Linked DNA regions of Cricetulus griseus. The protein of the gene in region 1 interacts with the protein of each later gene in a pairwise test. Links are inferred from orthologs where the notes say so. Each region holds a gene or a part of one and is shown in the gene's direction. Other genes may lie near its edges.

The links.
Region 2: the proteins of Gramd1c (region 1) and Cd151 interact in binary tests that used the Homo sapiens proteins (3 or more experiments, as listed by UniProt). The link is inferred for Cricetulus griseus from reciprocal best matches to the Homo sapiens genes GRAMD1C and CD151.

Annotation. Positions count from the first base shown.
Region 1 is NC_048597.1:46,379,631-46,389,227, forward strand, and holds part of Gramd1c (protein Aster-C), read left to right. Parts: intron 1-1,437; coding exon 1,438-1,570; intron 1,571-4,124; coding exon 4,125-4,287; intron 4,288-9,597. UniProt on the Homo sapiens protein: Cholesterol transporter that mediates non-vesicular transport of cholesterol from the plasma membrane (PM) to the endoplasmic reticulum (ER).
Region 2 is NC_048596.1:59,711,482-59,721,689, reverse strand, and holds Cd151 (CD151 antigen), read left to right. Parts: upstream 1-3,671; 5' UTR 3,672-3,798; intron 3,799-4,232; exon of another isoform or gene 4,233-4,502; intron 4,503-4,671; 5' UTR 4,672-4,878; intron 4,879-5,524; 5' UTR 5,525-5,592; coding exon 5,593-5,676; intron 5,677-5,794; coding exon 5,795-5,986; intron 5,987-6,304; coding exon 6,305-6,379; intron 6,380-6,603; coding exon 6,604-6,708; intron 6,709-6,794; coding exon 6,795-6,953; intron 6,954-7,079; coding exon 7,080-7,166; intron 7,167-7,249; coding exon 7,250-7,309; 3' UTR 7,310-8,020; downstream 8,021-10,208. Other genes in the region: Cracr2b (EF-hand calcium-binding domain-containing protein 4A), read left to right, coding at 1-133, 211-322, 680-839, 1,222-1,368, 1,462-1,552, 1,784-1,879, 2,043-2,209, 2,292-2,363 and 1 more; Polr2l (DNA-directed RNA polymerases I, II, and III subunit RPABC5), read right to left, coding at 9,434-9,542. UniProt on the Homo sapiens protein: Structural component of specialized membrane microdomains known as tetraspanin-enriched microdomains (TERMs), which act as platforms for receptor clustering and signaling.

The DNA of each region.
Region 1 (9,597 bases):
TTTCAAACCACCATAGGAGGGAACTTCAATTAAGAAAACGCCTCTAAGCAGCCAGTAGCCTGAGGAGCCCACAGTACCCTTAGGGACTTCACCTCAGGTCCAGCTGAATCCTCATCACAGAGAAGAATTTCAGGACAAACCAGAATAAAACAAGTTTATTAAGTAGATATGGTGATAGGAGCAAGTGCATGCTTAGATAGAAGCATGGGTTGTGGGGGGCAAAAAGAAAGACCTACCTTTTAGGAAAAAAGAACACATCTAAGACATGGGTGTGGGGCTTCTCAAGAGAGTCATGCTTAGTCTTCTTTGTAGTGGATACATGTATTCATACTGTCATTTAAAAAAGTTATACTGTTTAAAGGGCATATATAATTCATTACAAAGCTTAAAGATGAACAAAGTGTAAAAGCTAAGCTTTAGAGATCAAGTGCGAAGATATGAGCTGGTTTACTTATTTCACTTAAAGAATTTTCTTTTGTTAAAAGAAACTCTAATGTGACTTTATGTGGTGTGTTGCTTAGACTCAGGGATGAGAGGAATGTTGGCACAATTAAGCCTCAGGCCATAAACATTCTCATCCTAACTAAACATAGATGGTTGTTTGTTTGAACGGCCTTGTTTGAGATGTCTGTAGGAAAACTAGTATTTTCTTTGCAGGCAGTCTTTTGTTTTGTTTTGTTTTTTGAGACAAGATTTGTGTAGCCCTGGCTGTCCTGGAATTCAGCCAGCTCCATAGACTAGACTGGCCCTGAACTCAAAGAGATCTGCCCCCCTCTACCTCCTGAGTGCTGGAATTAAAGGTGTGCACCACTACATGAGGCTCTTTGCCAGCAGTTTTGCTTTTGTCCATTTGTTTTGAAGTTTCTTGACACCCAGCTAGAAGGAAATACAAACTAGATCTCAGCATGAGGGGCCTATTTCCCTTCCCACTTTCCCCCATTTTTGTATCCAATGTCTTTGTATCTAGCCTTAGCCTGACTGATGACCATTGCATTCAGACATGAGGAGCTTGTGCCTCCTAGAGGGCCTGGCGGCCTCCACTGAGAGTACATCAGAAGCAAGACTTGTAAGACTGACTTCAGGTGCCAAGTGGCATCTGACCCAGACATCTTCCTAAACTTTCAGAGCTCTGTGGTTTTATACCTCGACCTTAAACAAGCGTCCGATTGGCTACTGCTGGGGCAACTTGTATTTCATTATACTTTTAGTCGTCTCTGAAATGTGTGGATTTGCATAGGAGTATATGTTTTATTTTCAAGAATGAAGTCAGCTGATGTTTCTAAGAGGATAGCTTGTTATAACAGGAGCTGGTTACAGCATAACAATCTATTGTTTGTTGAGATGATTTGTTAGACTTGCAAAGACCTCAGAGAGGAGCACCGAGGATTGTGTGCCTGGATGTGACCTTCTGCTTCCCTAATGCTGTGTTTCCTACAGAAGTCCAGAAAGAAACAGTGTGGATGACTCTGGGGAAAGAGATGAAAAGTTCTCCAAGGCCATCAGCTTTACACAGGAGTCAATTAGCCGAGTTTCAGAAACCGAGTCCCTGGATGGAAACTCACCGAAGAGAGTTAGTATCTGCTGTTCCCTAAAACCCACACCTACATGAGAGCAAGTAAAAAAATGCAATGTATTAGAAATGTTGAAAAGCTTAGACTGTCCAGCTGCTGCTTTGTTTTAGAAAAAGAGTATGTATCTCTAAGTAGCAGACGTTATGTGGGGAAAGAATGTGGTATTCTTCAAAGATAGCTAAGGTGCAGGCCCCTGAGCAACATGTTAAGACACTACTAATACTTCTTAAAATATAACAGGACCCAGAAATCTGTAGTTGGCAGAATTTCCCCATGTGAAGGAAATGCATGTGGTGGAGACAGTCTGTTTCAAATAGGGAGAGACAGGCCTTTGAGCATAGCTGGGTCACAGAGGACACATCCATTTCTTTTTAGTAGAAACTCCTTAGGTAACACATTAAAAATGACAGTCCAGCTAGTGACTGGCTTTTCAGTTAGCTGGTGAGCTTCAGTTTTTTCAAGTGTCATAAGTCTAAGTGGTCTACAGCACTAGTTCTATAACAGCCACGGCTACACAAAGAAACCCCGTCTTGAGAAAAAGAAAGGAAGGAAGGAAGAAAGAAAGAAAGCTATTAAGGTACTGAGAACAATTCCTAGCATTCACTGAGTGTCCTAAAACCATTGGCTGTTGTAATTGAAAGTGAGCCTGCATGTAGTTAGTAATGGTTCTTTTTTAAGACACCTTTGGGAAAATACTGACATAGAATTTATTCATGTGAAAGGTCCCTGAACTCTACACTTGTTTTAGACAATCATCCTTCATCATACCTCTATGTCAGCCTACTTTTATAAAACTTGTTCAGTATAAGTTTTATAAACATGGACACTTAGGGATCTAGTACTGCACAAGGATTGTCATTCTGGAAGTTAATATTTACATGTGAAACACTCAGTTAGGGGAGGTAATAAGATGGGGGACTTGTTGCAGTCTCATTACCCATTTATCAAAGTCCATCTTTGAGGAGTGGGTTCTCAGGACTTTAGTCTGTCTTAGTCCTTTCCACTTCCTCAGTCTTCTGTGGCTCCTCTTGGAATACTTAGTCTGTTGGATCTTACCTTTAGTTATGTCCAAAAATAAGTTGCCTGTTCTCTTCATGGTGAATGGGATGTAAAAGAGTGCAATAGACTGATTACTTACTTGCTGATGTTTAGGACAGAGGTTTTCGGCTTTGGAAGCTGGGTCTTTTCCCCAGGAGCATTATGGTGAGACTCTCCGATTTCAGAGGTCAGCAAATGGTGTCCATCTTTCACTTTGTTTGATGTTTTACTGTCATCAAATTGAAAATAACAAAAAAAAACCCAGAAACAACTGTTTTCCAATGGAAACATGCTCATTATAAAATTAATATTCCTTGGAAAATACAGGAAAATATCTGGAGATAAAATCAATACAGATGCCAACATTTGTTACCTTTCATGTAGGTATCTTTATTCCTATAATAGGAAATACAATTTAGTTAATGGGAGAAATATATGTGTGGAGCTCTGCTCAGCTGTTTGAGAGGCCCTGGGTCTGCTAAGTAACCATAATGCTTTCTCCTGTGGAACTCCCAAATGCATCACCTCTTGATTTTAGCTGTAGTCTGCTCTGCTTGAAGAGTCAGTTCTCTGGGTAGGGTAGTGTAACTCATTAGTAAGATGTATCCTGGGTTCCACTTACCACCCAGCTTCCCCATTGGCCAGTGGAAACCTGTGTCCTCCCTAGAGCTGAGTTCAGGACTAGGCAAGCATCTTCTAGGGCAGAAAGGAGAAGGGCTGGATGCATGTTTTGTGCTGTCTTTTGTCGGTGTACACACAGTACAAAACGGAATTTTTCTGTATAGCTAATATAGATTCTTTTTTTTCTAATATAGATTCTTTACTTATCTTACTAATTATAGTTAGTTCTATTTGAGTTATAACATAGCAATAACACTTTTATTTAATGTCTGTCATTTTTTTAATGTCTGTCATTTAATAATGACATGTCCTTATTAAATATGCCCAGAAAGTATACATGTCAAATTTTGGTATATTTTAATATTTTTATCTCTAGGACCAGTTTGCTATGAACTCACTCCTCTCCCCACCACACTCCTAGGTGACTTACTTCTATCTCTCTATTTTCTTTCCATTTCTATTTTAGTTATTGATTTTGAGAGATGGGTGAGAAGTGGACACCAGATAAATAAACAAACAGGGTTTGACCTCTCTCCCTTACCCACCCCAAAGGCCTGATTGTTTCTTATTTTTGCCTTCTGTCCCTTCCTTTCCCTTCCCTTCTGCTTTAGCTGCTCACAAGCTAATACCTTTCTTTGAATCCCTTTTACATGGTTCTCTTCATAAATGTGTCATTCATACTGCATGAGAACACCTCAGGGAGGACCTATATTATCTCTATGTCAAGGGTAGCAGTCAATCTTAACAGAATGCTTTAGATATTTTTCAAAAAACATCATTTCATGTCTTTACTCTTAATATTTACTATTAAAGTTTTTACTGTGAGACCTAAGCTTAAATAAGTTATTTTTGTTTGTTTGTTTTTACTTTTTAACTGAATTGTTTGTCTTTTAGGGATTAGGAAAAGAAGAGTCCCAGAGTGAGAAACATTTGAAAAAAAGCCTTTCACTAGTTTCAGAAAAGAGGTTAAGTAGAACGCCCTCCAAATCACTGGACTTGAATAAAAATGAGTACCTTTCTCTGGACAAAAGCAGCACTTCAGATTCTGTTGACGAAGGTAAAGAATTTAAATCTTAACAAAATTCCAGGCATGTCTTCTAATGTTTACCCTTGTGTTAGGTGTGTGCAGAGTGAGAGTTTGATTGTGGCAGCCTCACACTATAGGGAACCAGAAAAGGAATAAATGCATATAGAACACAGGAGAAGAACTTGTCAGTCTGGCCCATCTGCGTGTCTCTCAAAGCCTGGAATTTGAAAGTCTCCATTAGGTTGGCTTAGAATTCCAAGCTTTCAGGAATAGCAAGCCAGGGCACAGTGAGATATCTCTGGACCCAGCTTTGGTGGCCATGGTGTGCAGGTCTGTACTCCCAACAACAGAGGTCTCACTGGCCAGGCAGCCTAGCCTAATCAGCAAGGGCCAGGTCCCAATGAGAGACGAGACCATGCCTCAAAAACTAAAGGAAGATGTCTCCTGAGGAACAACACTGCAAGTTGTCCCCTGGACTTTACAGATAACACACACACACACACACACACACACACACACACACACACACACACACACACACACACACACAAACAAAGCTTTCATTGCAGTGGACACAGTGAAAAGCAAGTCTGTATGCTGTTCCAGCAGACTACACACACACACACACACACACACACACACACACACACACACACACACACACACAAACAAAGCTTTCATTGCAGTGGACACAGTGAAAAGCAAGTCTGTATGCTGTTCCAGCAGACTAAATGGGGTAAGATGGTCCCATTGTTAATGTATTTATTTAGAGAAAGATGAAATCAATGGGTTTTTAAACACATGTAGCTAGTTAACTGTACTGAGGCTGGGTTGAGGATAAGACCTTTGAGACCTGTGTTCTTTTCACTTAACCAAAGGAGTTCCCAAGTTATTGCTATTATTATTATTCTTGGAGCTAGGTTCTCACTGTGTGGTCTTGGATGGCTGGGCTGTAACTGACTTTTTAGTCCTGCCGAACTTAGACCCTCCTGCCTCTGCCACTGCTGGGATTAAAGGCATGAGCACTGTGTCCAGAACTTCCCAAATTCTTCTTTCTCTTCTTTGTAAAAAAAAAAGACATCTGCTGGGTGTGGTGGTGCACAACTGAATCCCAGCATTTGGGAAGCAGAGGCAGGAGGATCTCTGTGTGTTTGAGGCTAGACTGATCTACATAATGAATCCCAGGCTAGCCAAGACTCATAATGACACCCTGCCTCAAACAAACATCTTAGCAAAGGCTCTGCAAGACTGATTTTACACTACCCCCCCACACACACACACGTGCGCATGCACACACACACACATATATATATATATATATATATATATATATATATATATATATATATAACAAGTAGTCATGGCAGATGCACATTCTGAGATGAATATTAAATTACTGTGTGGCTTCCATTAGGAAATAAAATGCTTAGAAAGCAACTTTTTTCAAAAAAGATTGCTTAGAAGATTATTATTCTACTTTGTATGGGTGAAGTTACATGCTTTTGACTATTGTTTTTAGATTATTTTCGAGAAATATTTAAAAATAACTTTAAAGGCAGACACATGGTCACATCCTCACAATTACATCTGAACTGTTTCTATTAAAATCAATATCCATTGAATTTTTAATTTTGTTTTGTTTTGCTTTTTGAGACAGAGTTCTTCTGTATAGCCCTAGCTGTTCTGGACCTAGCTCTGGGGACTAGGCTGGCCTAGAAATCACAGACATCTCCTTGTCTCTGCCTTCCAAATGCTGGGATTAAAGGTGTGTGCCACCACTGCCTGGCAAATTTTTAAAATTTATTTTCAAATCACATTTCTCCCTTCCTTCCTTCCTTTTTTTTTTTTTTGGCTAATCTGGAACTCACTTCGTAGGACAGATTGGCCTTGAAGTCAGAGATCCACCTGCCTCTGCCTCCTCAGTGCTGGAACTAACCACTGCCCAGTTCAAATCACTTTTAAAGAACATTCTGTAGTTGAAATATTTTTACAAAGAAAACTGCTAATACTAGTCTACATGGTGTTTAAAAATAACTCACAGAGCCAGTGATGTGGCCCTATGGGTAATAGTACTTGCCATTGAGCCAAATAGCTTTAGTTCAGTCCTTGGGATCCACATAATGGAAGGAGAAATAGACTCCTGCAAGTCTTCCTTTGGCCCTACATATGTGCAATGACCCATGTACCCTCCCCACAATAAATAAAGGAAATGTAAAAAGTAAAATGTCATTTGAATTTAGAAAACTAATAGATTTAGCTAGACTCTAATGATGATGAATAACCAGAATCTTTACTGAAAGAAAGGCCTTCTGGGTATCAAATGTGTTATACTCTGGCTGCTATTTTTATTGTATGCTGTATATTGTTACATGGGCTCAACAAATAGCATCCTTCCTGATATCCCTACTGTAATAAAATTGGGAAAAGAAACTAAAATTGGGAAAAGAAACAAAGAGCAAGTCAGAGGGACCAAAATAGTACCCTTTGCAGTGATGGTGGCCAAGTAAGAGGAAAATCCACTTACATGTGCCAGAGGTAACAAGGCTGGGCTGAAAATATGTATGAATTACTCATAAGTCAAGCCAGCTGCTCTCCCCAGAGGAAGAGGTGAGACCAGCCATGGAACAGCAGCAGCTGCTGAGGGTACCTAGGCTTCATGAAACATGACAGCCATGAGGCTTCATGAAACATGACAGCCATGTGCCAAGCCTGCCTGGTATGCCCCTTCCACGATTATTCATGATATAGGCAGCGTGGGCTGCCACGAAAGATAGATACTTCCATTCACATAGGTCAGACGAGAACAATGTAATTCCTTACAGTTCTATAGTGCAAAAGTCACAGGTCAGGCCCAGCAGCATTGCTTTCTGGTGAGGACACTCTCCTGGCTGTGGAGAGCTAGATACCTTTGTGCTCTGTCCTCAGTGTATGCCCAGGAGGTGGGACAGGAGGAAGAGGGTAGCAGGGGATATTTGAGGATATAACAACAATAACAACAATAGCAAAGATGTCTATGGGCAACTTAGCAAGCCAAGCTCCCTACTTTCTCTAAGTATGTCATATTACACAGTAGGTTTTATATTAAGTCTTTCCTGAAAATACGAAGATCACTGGCATCGAAGTCAGTATAGTAGGCATGACGGGAATGATGGGTGTTATGGCCTTACTTTAGGATGTGAGGGCGTGAATTAGGCATGTGCTGGCTTCCTGACTGAACTTGGAACTCTAGGAAGATCTATTCTGGCACCCAGTGGCCAAATAGGCAAGTGACAGCAAAACAAGGAACTATTTTCTCTTTCATTAAACCTACTCTTAAGAATTGTCTTAAAAAGTCATTTCATTATTGAGTTCCTGGAACAGTCACATTAAAACTCAAAGGCTGCACACACACATCTAGGAATAAGGGAAAGATGAGAGTGTGTAGTTACTGTACTTGGGCCCTGGTCACTCTGTGATCCTTACTGGTGCCTCTTTAAAAACTGCTTGCTTTGGCAGTGAGCAGTTACACGGTGTTTTCCCTAAAGTGTCCTTAAGATATAAGAGTGAGTTTTTCTTGTTTGTTTGTTTCTGAGACAGGGTTTCTCTGTGGCTTTGGAGGCTGTCCTGGAACTAGCTCTTGTAGACCAGGTTGGTCTCAACTCACAGACATCCACCTGCCTCTACCTCCCAAGTGCTGAGATTAAAGGCGTGCGCCACCAACACCCGGCTAAGAGTGAGTTTTTCTTAATAGATTATATTAGATAATAATTTGGGTGATCCCACTGTTTTCCCTAAATGTGTTTCAAATATCAGGCTCATCATAACTTTCAAATGAGTATAAAGATGACTCTGTTTTTCTCTTTTCTCGAGGTTGTAAAATAATGAAGCCATTGGCAGGAAATGATCTAGGTAGAAAATGAGAAAGATCAAATGAAGTCGACCAAGCTGGGAGATTGGAGAATGATGTGGAAGGCTAAAGGGAGATGGCTGGGTGGGGCTCTTTTTAAACCAAACATTGCTTAGGTTTGCTGGCACAGGGTCTTACTGTGTAGCCCTGGCTGTCCTGAAACTGGTCATATTGCTCAGGTTGGCCTTGGGCATCCAGGGTCCCTCCTGCCCTCTCCCGAGTGCTGGGATTATGTTTACACCACCATGATAGAAAAATGAGAAAATCCTGCCCTGCCTTTCATATCACAATTCTGGGGAAGGAACACTGGGTTATTTTGACATAGAGATTCACTCTAGAATCACAAGTCCCTGACAAAACCAACTAACACAGAATATGGTGCTACTGTCTCATGGAGGGAATCCAACTCAATCCTTACCTGTCTAGGACACTGTTCTGCATCCTCAAAACAATGGCAGTGTATGTTGTGAGTTTCATGTTACTGTGTTCCCCCTTTAGTCATCTGCCTCATTCCAAATGATTTCTACTGATACTTTAAAAAAATGTTTTCAAATATGTGTATTTGTGTATGTGTGTGCATGAAACTGCTGGCGTGCACAAAGGTAGCAGGTCCTTGTATCTCCTGGAGCTAGAGTTACAGGTGGTTGTGAGCTGCCCAAAGTGGGTGCTGGGATCCACATTTGGGTTCTCTGGATGAGCAACCACCTCTCCAGTCCCTTAGCTGGTATTTTTGAAGCGTTTTTTTTTTTTCCCTATATTGACAAAAGTACCCTGCTCCTGAGTTGAGCAGTGTCCTCTCTTCATTTAAAAAGAACCACCTGTCAACTTTCTATGCAACAGCAGTATTATTGGTATTGATCTTTGGAGAATATTGAAATGTCAAGAATATCATAAATGAGTAACCTAACCCAGGAACAGTTCATTTCATTTATTTATTTCCTTGAGCAAATTTCCATGCAGAATATATTATTAATTTCTGATACTGATACAGTAAATTGCACTTTTATCAGTCATAATTCAGAATCTATCACCTAACGAGCTTAGGAGAAGTATGAACGTACTATATAGAAGAATGTACACAAGTGTAATCTTTCCATTTTTAATATGAATAAAAAGCTCACTTTTGAAAAGTTATAAAATAGGACCCCTTAAGAGAAATGCTTCTAGGTGTAGAGAAAATATCAGATGTGCTTGGCCTAATTGTGTTCAACTTCAAAAAATCTGCACAGCAAAAGAAAATCAGTAGAGTGGTAAGACATCCTACAGAATAGGAGGAAGTCTTTTTCATACCCAACAGCGATTACTATCCAGAAAATATCCAAAAATTAAATAGCCAGAGAGCAAGTGATTCAGTTAATGAATGGACAAATGAACTGAAAACCACTTTTCCCATTAAAAAGTACAAATGGCCAATAAATACACATGAAAATCTTCTTAGCTCTTGGGGAAGGCTA
Region 2 (10,208 bases), on another chromosome or scaffold:
GGAGGGCCAGGAGGAAGAGGAGACGAAGGGAATCTCAGCAGGGCACCGTCCAGAGGTGCTGCAGCAGGCCCAGGAGCTCTTTCTACTGTGTGACAAGGATGCTAAAGGCTTCATCACTAGGCAGGACTTGCAGGTGAGCCACAGTTCCAAGAGGCTGCCAGGCCCAAGGCCAACCTTGGCTGCTCACCTTGGTCTTTCTTGCCTGGCTAGGGCCTGCAGAGTGATCTTCCCCTAACGCCTGAGCAGCTGGAGGCTGTGTTTGAAAGTCTGGACCAGGCCCACACTGGCTTCCTCACAGCCCGGGAGTTCTGTCTTGGCCTGGGTAAGCAGGTCCCAGCCACCTGGAGACCCTATTCAGGCCCCTGTGAGACTCTATATAGCCTGTGCCTTTCACAACTACCCAGGCATTCTACAAGCAGTCACTCTGTGAGCTGCACCACCTCACCTACCCCCAGCTACTGTGCAGCATAGCTGTCTGCCCTCCCCCAATTCCTTCTCCTTTGCCAACCCAGGTGGGGCGGGGGAGCTGGCTGTCATTTCCCATTCCCAGGCCAATAGAACCAGAACAAGGAAGAAAAACAGGAAATTGGGCCCTGAGAGAGGACAGGATATATTGTGTGTGGCCGGGGGAGTTGGGTAGGTCCCATGTTAACCCACAGTCCTGGTCCCATGTCTGCAGGAAAGTTTGTGGGGGTGGAGTCGGCCCAAGGTGGGTCCTCCTTGAGGACTCCTGAGGAAACCTTTGAGTCAAGCACAGGGGGCTCTCTGGAGGAGGACGACGATGTTGAGACATTCTGCACTTCCTTAGAGAAGCTGGGAGTGGCCCGGGTCCTGGGCGAGTGAGTTGATGCTAGGCCCACTTCCTTTTCGAGCCTGATCCCTCTCCTCTGCATGTTCTGTCCACCCTGCCCTCCTGGCTGTTGCCACAGAATCCCAAGGCGGGGCCAGTCCATCCTTTGTCAGTTGTGGTTGTCTGGGAGAGTGCCCTGGCGTGATTTTCCTCAGGATTTGCATTTCAGGAGGCCATAGCTCTGTGGGGGCGGGGTGCCACCAGACACCTAGTCACTCGTGCAAGGCTAAGCAGGCATGAGAGCACACTCCAAAGAGTACGCGGCCGATGTGCTGCCAGTTCTGGGCCGCGGGATTCTCTAGCGGGTTCACCTTCCGAAAAGGGCACACACCTCCAGCATCTGCCAGCTCATCTCTATTCACACCCTCTAGGCAATGGGCTGTTAGGACACTCTGGGTCCGGCTGCAGCGCGAGCGACCCGAGCTGCTGGGCGCTCTGGAGGAAGTTTTGATGCGCGCATCGGCCTGCCTGGAGGCGGCGGCCCGGGAACGCGACGGTTTGGAGCAGGCACTGCGGCGGTGAGGACCGGCTTGGCGAGGTGTGGGGTCTCACGAGGGGACAGAGAGGAAACTGGCAAATGCTCATGCCTGTGATATCCCGGTTCCTCGAAGGCGAGAGAGTGAGCACGAGAGGGAAGTGCGCGGACTCTACGAAGAGCTGGAGCAGCAGCTGGGGGAGCAGCGACACCGCTGCCAGAGCCAGGTGGGCCCGCGTATGCCACGCCCAGCCTCTCTGGCTTCTCTGGCTCCGCCTTCCCCGAACTGGTCCCGCCCCAGAGGACTCACCTCCGGGAGTCCAAGCTGCCCCAAGTCCAGGGAACTCTGCTCTGCCTCCGCAAGTGTCCCCTCCCGCGCTCTCCACCCCTTTGCTCCCCACCCTTGCCTCTCCGCCTGCCTCCTCTGAGCCAGGAGCTAGTGCGGCTGTACATCCCAGAAACTACTGCCCCGGGAGGAACAGAGGGGCCACCTGGAGCTGGAGCTGCAGACCCGCGAGCAGGAGCTGGAGCGTGCAGGCCTGCGGCAGCGGGAGGTAAACCTTAGTTACTTTACGCCCGCATCCTCGCAGACTCATTTCTTTGAGGGTTGGTTTCCTGTGCCTCGGAGTCCTCGAGCTGCAGGAGTGAGAAGTTACCTTGGCACTGGGGGGTGAGCGGGGAGCGTGGTTCGCCTGCCAGCATCCCAACATTCCCCAGCTGGAACAGCAGCTGCAGGCCCGGACTGCAGAACAGCTAGAGGCGCAGGCCCAGCACACCCAGCTGCGTAGGGCCTATGAGGTGATAAGAGCACAGCTGGACCAGGCGCAAGAGCAGCTCAGCCGACTGGAGGGCGAAGCACAAGGTCGTCAGGAGCAAACCCAAAGGTGTGGTGAGGCGCCTGTGGACGGGGTGGAGGGTCCCTTCCCCCACCTTGCATCTGGATCACCAACCACCTTCTACCTACAGAGATGTGGTTGCTGTCTCCAGGAACATGCAGAAGGAGAAACTCAGTCTCCTAAGGCAGCTGGAGCTGCTGAGGTGGGTCAGGCCTACCTGGGCTGTGTGGAGAAGTGGTTTCAAGTTCCCGAATAGTCTTGGCTCTCACCATCTTGCCATGTAGCCTTCATGCTGCACTCTCTGCAGTCCTCCGGACTCAGGAGAGCCAGCCCATCTTCCCGATGCACTGCTTCCTCTAGATCTTTAATTAACCTCCACAGTCTCAAACTCTTCCTCTCTAGGGAGCTGAATCTGCGACTTCGAGATGAGAGAGACGCCTGTGAGACTAAGCTGCTGGGGAGTAGCCATAGGAAGGCTCTAGCGATTGCCCACAAGCCTGGACCTACCTACTGCTGCTGCTGCTGTGGCTGGGCTCGGCCCCCGAGACGAGGCTCTGGCCATCTTCCTAGTGCCCGATGACCAGCCCCAAATGACTCACCGACTCACAGGGCCTTCCTTATTTAGAAGGGGACTGGTGGTGGGTGGCGGCTGCCTGTTAGGTATGTGGCTCTAGCCAGAAAGCATCAGCTACCTGAAGGAACTAAGCTCTGAATGATCAAAGTCTTCCGTCTTCATATCTGTTTAGTAGACCAATAAAGGTCACTGGCCTCTGTGCACTCCTTGCTTTTTGTGTGTCAGAGCCACAGTACATTTGTGGTTCATGTTTGGTGTCCACGGCACGAGGTGATATGGAGAGATTCACAGGTACACACTAGCCTGTCATTCCTGTGGCTGTGAGTCCCTGTGCACTTGTGTATGTCCTGTGATTCTGGTCACTCGCCAAGCCCTCCCTCTCCGTCCATCACAGGACTCAGGTTTCAACAAGTGTCCACTACCATGCTAGCCCTCATGTGGAAAGGGAGTCCTGCCCCTCACTTCTGTGATCAGCTAGCTCTCTGGTCCCGGTCCTTACTCCCTCATCATCTGGCACCATTCCTAGACAGACCATATGCCCTCTTGCAGGGCCCTCACGTGTCTGTGGGTCTCCCGGCACTCTTCACACTTGTACCTGGAGCTTCCCCTCCAACATTTCCTCAGCCGCTAGAACCTGCAGCCTCAGAGTGGTTCCCCGGGCTTAGACTGGAGGAGGATTTGGTCTTGGTCTCAGTTCTGGGCTCTGGTGGGCTAGGTGCCACCTTCCCCACCTCTCCACTCGCCACCTGGTTCTGTCTCCAGCCTAGCTCCTCTGTCTCTGGGTGAGTGGGGGGTCTTGCTGATCACCGGAGCCCTCAAGTTAACTTTCTGGCCCCACAGACTGGGAAGGTGCCCCAGGTCTTGCAGTGCCGCGGTCTGCCACGAGCCCTAGCTCCAAACCAGTTGGGACTTGCCCAACCCAGGCCAGCCGTGGGCGGGGCTGCGCCCGGGGCGGGGTCGCGTGCGGGGCGTGTCCTCGAAGGCCCCGGGCCGAGCATTCTCTCCACTCGGAGCGCTTACTCCTACAGCCGCCTGCCGGGGTTGATACTACAAAGTGTGATTGGTAAGTGCTCCGCAGAGCCAGGCCGCAGGGTGTGAGGAGCGGTGTCCCGAATGCCTCGCGTCCCGGTGTCCCTAGTCCTCACCGCTGGCCTCGGGGACGCCCAGGAGGCAGCGCCGGTAGGACAGGGCTGTAGGCTCCTTTCCGGAAGATAGACGCCGGGGCGGGAAGAAGCAGAGGGGGGAGGGAGAAAGCCTCCGAGGTTCTTGGACAGGCCTGGAGGTCCCCTTCATGCAGAAACCGAGAAAGTCAAAGTCTGATCACCCTATTCATTGTCCCCGGACACCGGTTCCCTCCCCTGAGACCGCAGGTCCGCCCATTGGCGGGGGCGGGGAGGGGGGAGTGGGGGGACGGGCAGGGGCGATGATGACTTCATCTCGGTGACGCGGGGATTCCTTGCCTAGCCGCCTTCAGTGCCTAGTCCCTTCGGTGGGGCGGGTACCGAGCGCCATCGAGGGCACGGGAGAAGTCCAGGGGCTGAGTGTAGGGCGGCCGTGTTCAGGCCGAAAGAGCTATTTCTGGCTGATTGCGACTCCTACGCCGGCCATTTCTCAGGAAATTAACATTCAGTCTGCTGATTGTGCCTTGGCTTAGGTTGCTGGAAGTATTCAGAAGCAGCACCGCATAGGTTCTCGGCTTTTAGAGCCTGGACCCGAGGCTTGCATTGTAGTCGGGCCTCAGTTTGTGTCATGCCCCTCCTCAGTGAGGTAGCGTGTATTTGGGTCCTATTTCCAATGGAGGTCTGTAATCCCCAGGGGTGGACAGTTGATGCTCTCCTCCTCCAGTCTGCAGTCGATGCTGTTTGGTGGGGGAGGGACAGTGATGGATGGGTCTGGAGGGTGGGGCACCTGGAGAAGGCATTTGGTCCCTCCCTAGATCAAGCTGGCCAGCAATGTCCTCTGCCCCACCCTGGTCCAGAAGAAAATAGACCTGACTGTTATGCCTGCTTCCAGATCTGGTGGCTCTGGAAATCATTCTGACCACTGCTTCAGCCACCATAGGAGTGGCAAGATCCCATCTGCCAGGTGAAGGGCAGACCACTGACTTTTGACCTGTACCTGCTGGTCCTTCTGACTTATAGAGGTGAGTGCTGGTGCTTGGACGGAGCCCGCAGGTGGCAGGTGAGAAGTCCTGTACACTTGCCTGTCTAAAAACCGGTCCTGGGGTGTTCAGCTGAGGTCTGTACTGCAGACTGTCCACAGTGCAGACACTAGTGTGTTTAGGGCAGTTTGTGCCTAGGGGACTTTTGGGGGAATGGCACATCCATGTCTATGGAACTGAAGGCCTCCTTCAGCCTGGAGGGGAGCTGATTGTGTAGGCTCCACCTACTGGCACCTCTATTGTCCCTGCCCTGGATGAGAGAGAGTAGAGAGGTTACTCACAGAGCCCTCACTGTCTACCTGAGGTCTGCTTCTCTGCCACATCTGGGGTATTAATGCTAAACAGTCAGTCCCGTGATGATATAGGGTCAGGGAATGCTGTGGGGGTGGCAATCCACAGGAATACATCCTGAAGAGTCCCCACCCCTTGCCAGCAGGAGTGAGTCAGCAGATGGTTGGGGGTCCTCCATGCAATTCAATATGGGTGTCTGGCTGCTAGGAGGGGTGTTAGACCTGATCAGTTGTCCAGGAAGTGACTCATACATAGTTCCTGGGAAGGTTCCTCTTAAGGCTGATAGCTGGCTGAGATCCAAACTGCTGCATCCTCTCCTGTTCCCATTGGTTTCTAGCTTTCTTGCTAGCTGGAGGCCTTGTGCTCCCAGCCATCTGACCTCCTCCACGTTTCTGCAGGCCCAGCATGGGTGAATTCAATGAGAAGAAGGCAACATGTGGCACAGTCTGCCTCAAGTACCTGCTGTTCACCTACAACTGCTGCTTCTGGGTGAGAAGTGACTCTCCCTACATCCCTGTTCTTCCTCATCTTGGAGGCCTGGCCTGGGGGCTTGGCCCCAGCTTCCAGACCCAGGCCAGATGTGGTGACCAGTACATATTTCCTGCAGCTGGCCGGCTTGGCCGTCATGGCAGTGGGCATTTGGACATTGGTACTCAAGAGTGACTACATTAGTCTGCTGGCTTCAAACACCTATCTAGCCACAGCCTACATCTTAGTGGTGGCTGGTGGCGTTGTCATGGTGACCGGAGTCCTGGGCTGCTGTGCCACTTTCAAGGAGCGACGGAACCTGTTACGCTTGGTCAGCAGGGCCTGGTGGCACAAGTGAAGCATGGGGCTGGGGGTGACTGGCATGGGTTTCTCAGGGGCTTCTGGTACTGGTTCTGGGGCTTGATTCTGGTTAAGTATGTTACTGCAGGCTGTCCCTGTTGAACTCTCTGGGGCATCCCCCCAGCTGGACCAGCTGAGGGTATACACCAGCCCAGAGAAGTATCAGGAGTTGGGCAGCCCAAGCCTGTAGCTGCTAATTGGATTCCTCCTGCTTGGCCTCTTGGGTTGGGACTTGCTTTGTGGTGCTCTGGCACTAGGAACCCCAACTCACTGGGTCCCTGCTTCCTAGTACTTCATCCTGCTCCTCATCATCTTCCTCCTGGAGATCATTGCTGGCATCCTGGCCTATGTCTACTACCAGCAGGTAAGGGCCTGAACTGGACATGGGGTACGTCTGGAACAGGTGTGCACACAGGCAGGTGGATCCCAGGGCTGCTTTGGGACTTATGGGGAGGCAGGTATGCATGGGGTTGACAGTGTCACTCATTTGCTTGCCCACTTGGTGGCTCTTCTAGTCTTGTCAGTCCCACTGGGGGTCCTGACTCTAGTTTTGCCCTTGGGGGTCTTAGACTTTGATCCTACCCACAGCTGAACACAGAGCTCAAGGAGAATCTCAAGGACACCATGACCAAGAAATACCACCAGTCAGGCCACAAGGGTGTGACTAATGCTGTAGATAAGCTACAGCAAGAGGTGGGTGTCCCCTATAACTCTCCACTTTCCCAGTATGGAGCTATATGTTGGCAGGCTGTAGGGCTCAGCCACATACCCCCTTGCAGTTCCACTGTTGTGGCAGCAACAACTCTCAAGACTGGAGAGACAGTGAATGGATCCGCTCTGGTGAGGCAGAAAACCGTGTGGTTCCTGACAGCTGCTGTAAGACTGTGGTACCTGGCTGTGGTAGGCGGGACCATGCCTCCAACATCTATAAAGTGGAGGTAGGTGGGTGCTGAGCAAAGGGCTAGACTGATTGGGTGTCTCCGGTCTGGCTACATCTTAGGGCAGCCTGGTCCAATAGGGCTGCATATGGGAGCCAGCAAGGTCCACCACTCTCTCCCCACTAGGGTGGCTGTATCAGTAAGCTGGAGACCTTCATTCAGGAGCACCTGCGGGTCATTGGGGCTGTGGGCATCGGCATCGCCTGTGTACAGGTATGGAAACAGAGGTGACTAGGTGGGAACACTGGGGTGGCTGGTGGCCCACAGCCTTTTTACACCAGCCTGGTCCCATGCAGGTCTTCGGCATGATCTTCACCTGCTGCTTATACAGAAGCCTCAAGTTGGAACACTACTGACCATGGTGCCAGGCCAGGCTGCCAGCCTTGCACTATGTCCCACCCCACTACGAAGTACTACTGAGTTAGACTGCTGACTGCCAGAGAGGTAGCTGTCCTCATGCCATCACTACAACCCCACCTCAGGGGTAGCTTCAAGTGCCTTTCACTGCATACCAAAGTACCAAGGCTTGAGGCAATGTACTTGCCCCAGGATAAGAGGGGGCAGGTATGCCAGTGTTGGGCTAGGCCTACCTGGTAGAATTGGGTTTAGATTATTTGACAAAAGTGCCTCTTGCCCACAGGCTACTTTCCTTGGGTAGCTGTGATTTGCATTAAGTGTTGGGGGAGAACATGGGTTTACCACTTGCATGGTGGGTAGAAGCAGGTGGGAAAGGCCATTCTGGGTGGTCTAGGTACCTTTCATGCCTGCTGCTGGGAACACTCAGATGTGCTTGCTCCAAAGCAATGGGGCAACCCGAGGGGAACTCCAACCCCACTCACTGTATATGCCGTCCTTTCCATCCAGGCTTCTCTTGCTCCTAACATCCTCAGCCCTGGCTCTCCCCCACTTCTGATAACACTGTGCAAATGCCCCATGTTCCTATATACTGTCTCCTTTTGGAACATCTCTGAACGGGGGTATGGCTGTTTCCATCCACTGTTGTAACCCTGATGCCCACACATGCTCCTGCTTTGTAACAGGTGCTCAATAAATATATGAACAGTTGAGTCAGTTTGCTGACAGGACCTTAGGGTCCAGGGTAGCTGGAGTACTCGTAAGAGTCAAAGATGGGGAAGCCTAGTAGCAGGGCAGCTAGGCTGACCTCTGGTAGCTGGTGAGCCTCCAGCTCACTGTGGCCTGGATTTGGCCAGGCAAAGGATTGCTCATATTCAGAATGTACCTTAAGAGCTCATTCTTGGGCTCAGCCATTAAAGGCTAGGCTCACAACCAAAAATATAAGAGCTGATTCTCTGTCCCCAGTAGTCCTATGCTGTTTAGTTTAGCTGGAGGAATGGAGTCCTAGGGGCCCCCTGACTCCAGTCTAAGGCAAAACTTTCTCCTCTTTAAAAACTAGCGTGGGTGTGTGCATGCGATTCATTTTAATCCCAGCACTCAAGAGAGGGAGGAGAAGCAGGCAGATTGCTGAGTTTCAGACCAGTCAAACAAAACCAAAAACCCAGAACAACAAAAATCTCAGTGGGATCAATGTGCTAAAAAAAGAACCCTGAGATATTTACTGCAACTACCTAGGAACCAGAGCCTTAAATGGGCCTCGAGTAGGTTTCTTTTTTGTTTTTTTTGAGACAGGATTTTCTGTGTAGCTTTGGAGCCTATCCTGGCACTCATTCTGGAGACCAGGCTAACCTCGAACTCGAGTAGGTTTCTTAGGGTTGGGACTTTTCCACTCCTGTGGGGATTGGGTTGAGTGGCAGGGAGAGCAAATGCTCAGAGGTTAAGGGTGTTGGTGGTGCACGTCTTTAATCCCAGCAACAACAACCAAAAAGAATACATGGTAGCTCAATACTGTCTGTAACTTTTGGTCTCTATGGGTACACAATTATAAAGACATACAAGCAGACAAAACACCACACACATAAAAATAATTTCTATACCATGGTGGTGGGACAATTGAGTGGGCCTCCAAGCACTTTCAGTATTCCAAAGGAGTAACCTCCCAGGCTTGGGCCCTGCCTTGTGGATGGATGGTGTGGCCACATCTACCCTGCCCACCCTGAGCACTGGCAGGAAAAGATGAGGCCCTAGGGCAATGAGTGCAAGATTGTACTGTAGGGTTACCTAGTGGATCAAACAGGGCAAGGCCCAGAGAAACAGAAGCAGTGGGCTCCCATAAGACTGGACTCCCAAGTCGGGTGAGGGGAAGGAGAACAGTCCTGGGGAAAAAGACTGGATCCAGGCCAGGTAACCTCAAAGACAGCATAGACATGATGTTGAGGGTCTTATATAAAGTTAGACCTGTTGTTTCTGCTAACGTCTTTACTGAACTGTTTCTTCCAGGGTGAGGGGATGTAGGCCACAGGGCCAAAGCCAGGCAATGCACCCACCTCCCCAACACCTCAGTTTGAATTCAGCATGATTAAGATTGTCCATGGCCAGCAGAGGAGGAGGGTAAACTCCAGACTTCACTTCTCCAGGGGAGCATAGTTAAGCAGCTTTTCAATCAGGTCCACGTGTGCTAGCAGCATGCGGCGGCAGCAATAGCGCTTCAGGCCCAGAGCATCCAGGGCATCCCTGTAAGGAGGAGAGAGGAGTGACGCTGGTTATGGTACCTATAGTCTGCATAGGTCCTCTGTGTATTACTGTGGGCAGGGGTTACCAGAGTACCTCTACATAAATGGGGACTGAAACCTGACAGCACACCTCAGGGAAATGGCCTGGAGATTTCTGAACTATGCACCCAGATGCTTAGGGTGGAGGCTGGTGAGTCCCTTTCTCACCTAGAAGTAGACTTGATTCATCAGGTTACACCTATCCCATGTATATGCCCACAGCCAGTCTTCAGTGCCCAACATCCTTACCTGCCTTCTAAATTTCACTTTATATGTTATGGGTGTTTTGTACATGCATGCCTGGTGCCTGCCAAAGCCCAAAGCAGTTACAGACATTTGTGAGCCACCATGTGGGTGCTAGGAATTGAACCTGGGTCCTCTAGAAGAACAGCCAGTGCTCTTAACAGCTGAACCATCTCTCTAGCCCCCTACCTCTGCTTCTGGCTCTTGTATCCAGGGTTGGGATAGCTTTATGGGCTTGGAGGAAGCTTAGGAGATCAATACCTCCTCATTAAGGAGCTCAATTCCAGGCCCTAAGCAGACTCTGGGCAAATGCTGTGAACTGGCTGCTGCTTCCCTCCTTGGATCCATACCCCACATCCAGGTTGCAAACCAGCTAGGTTTAATT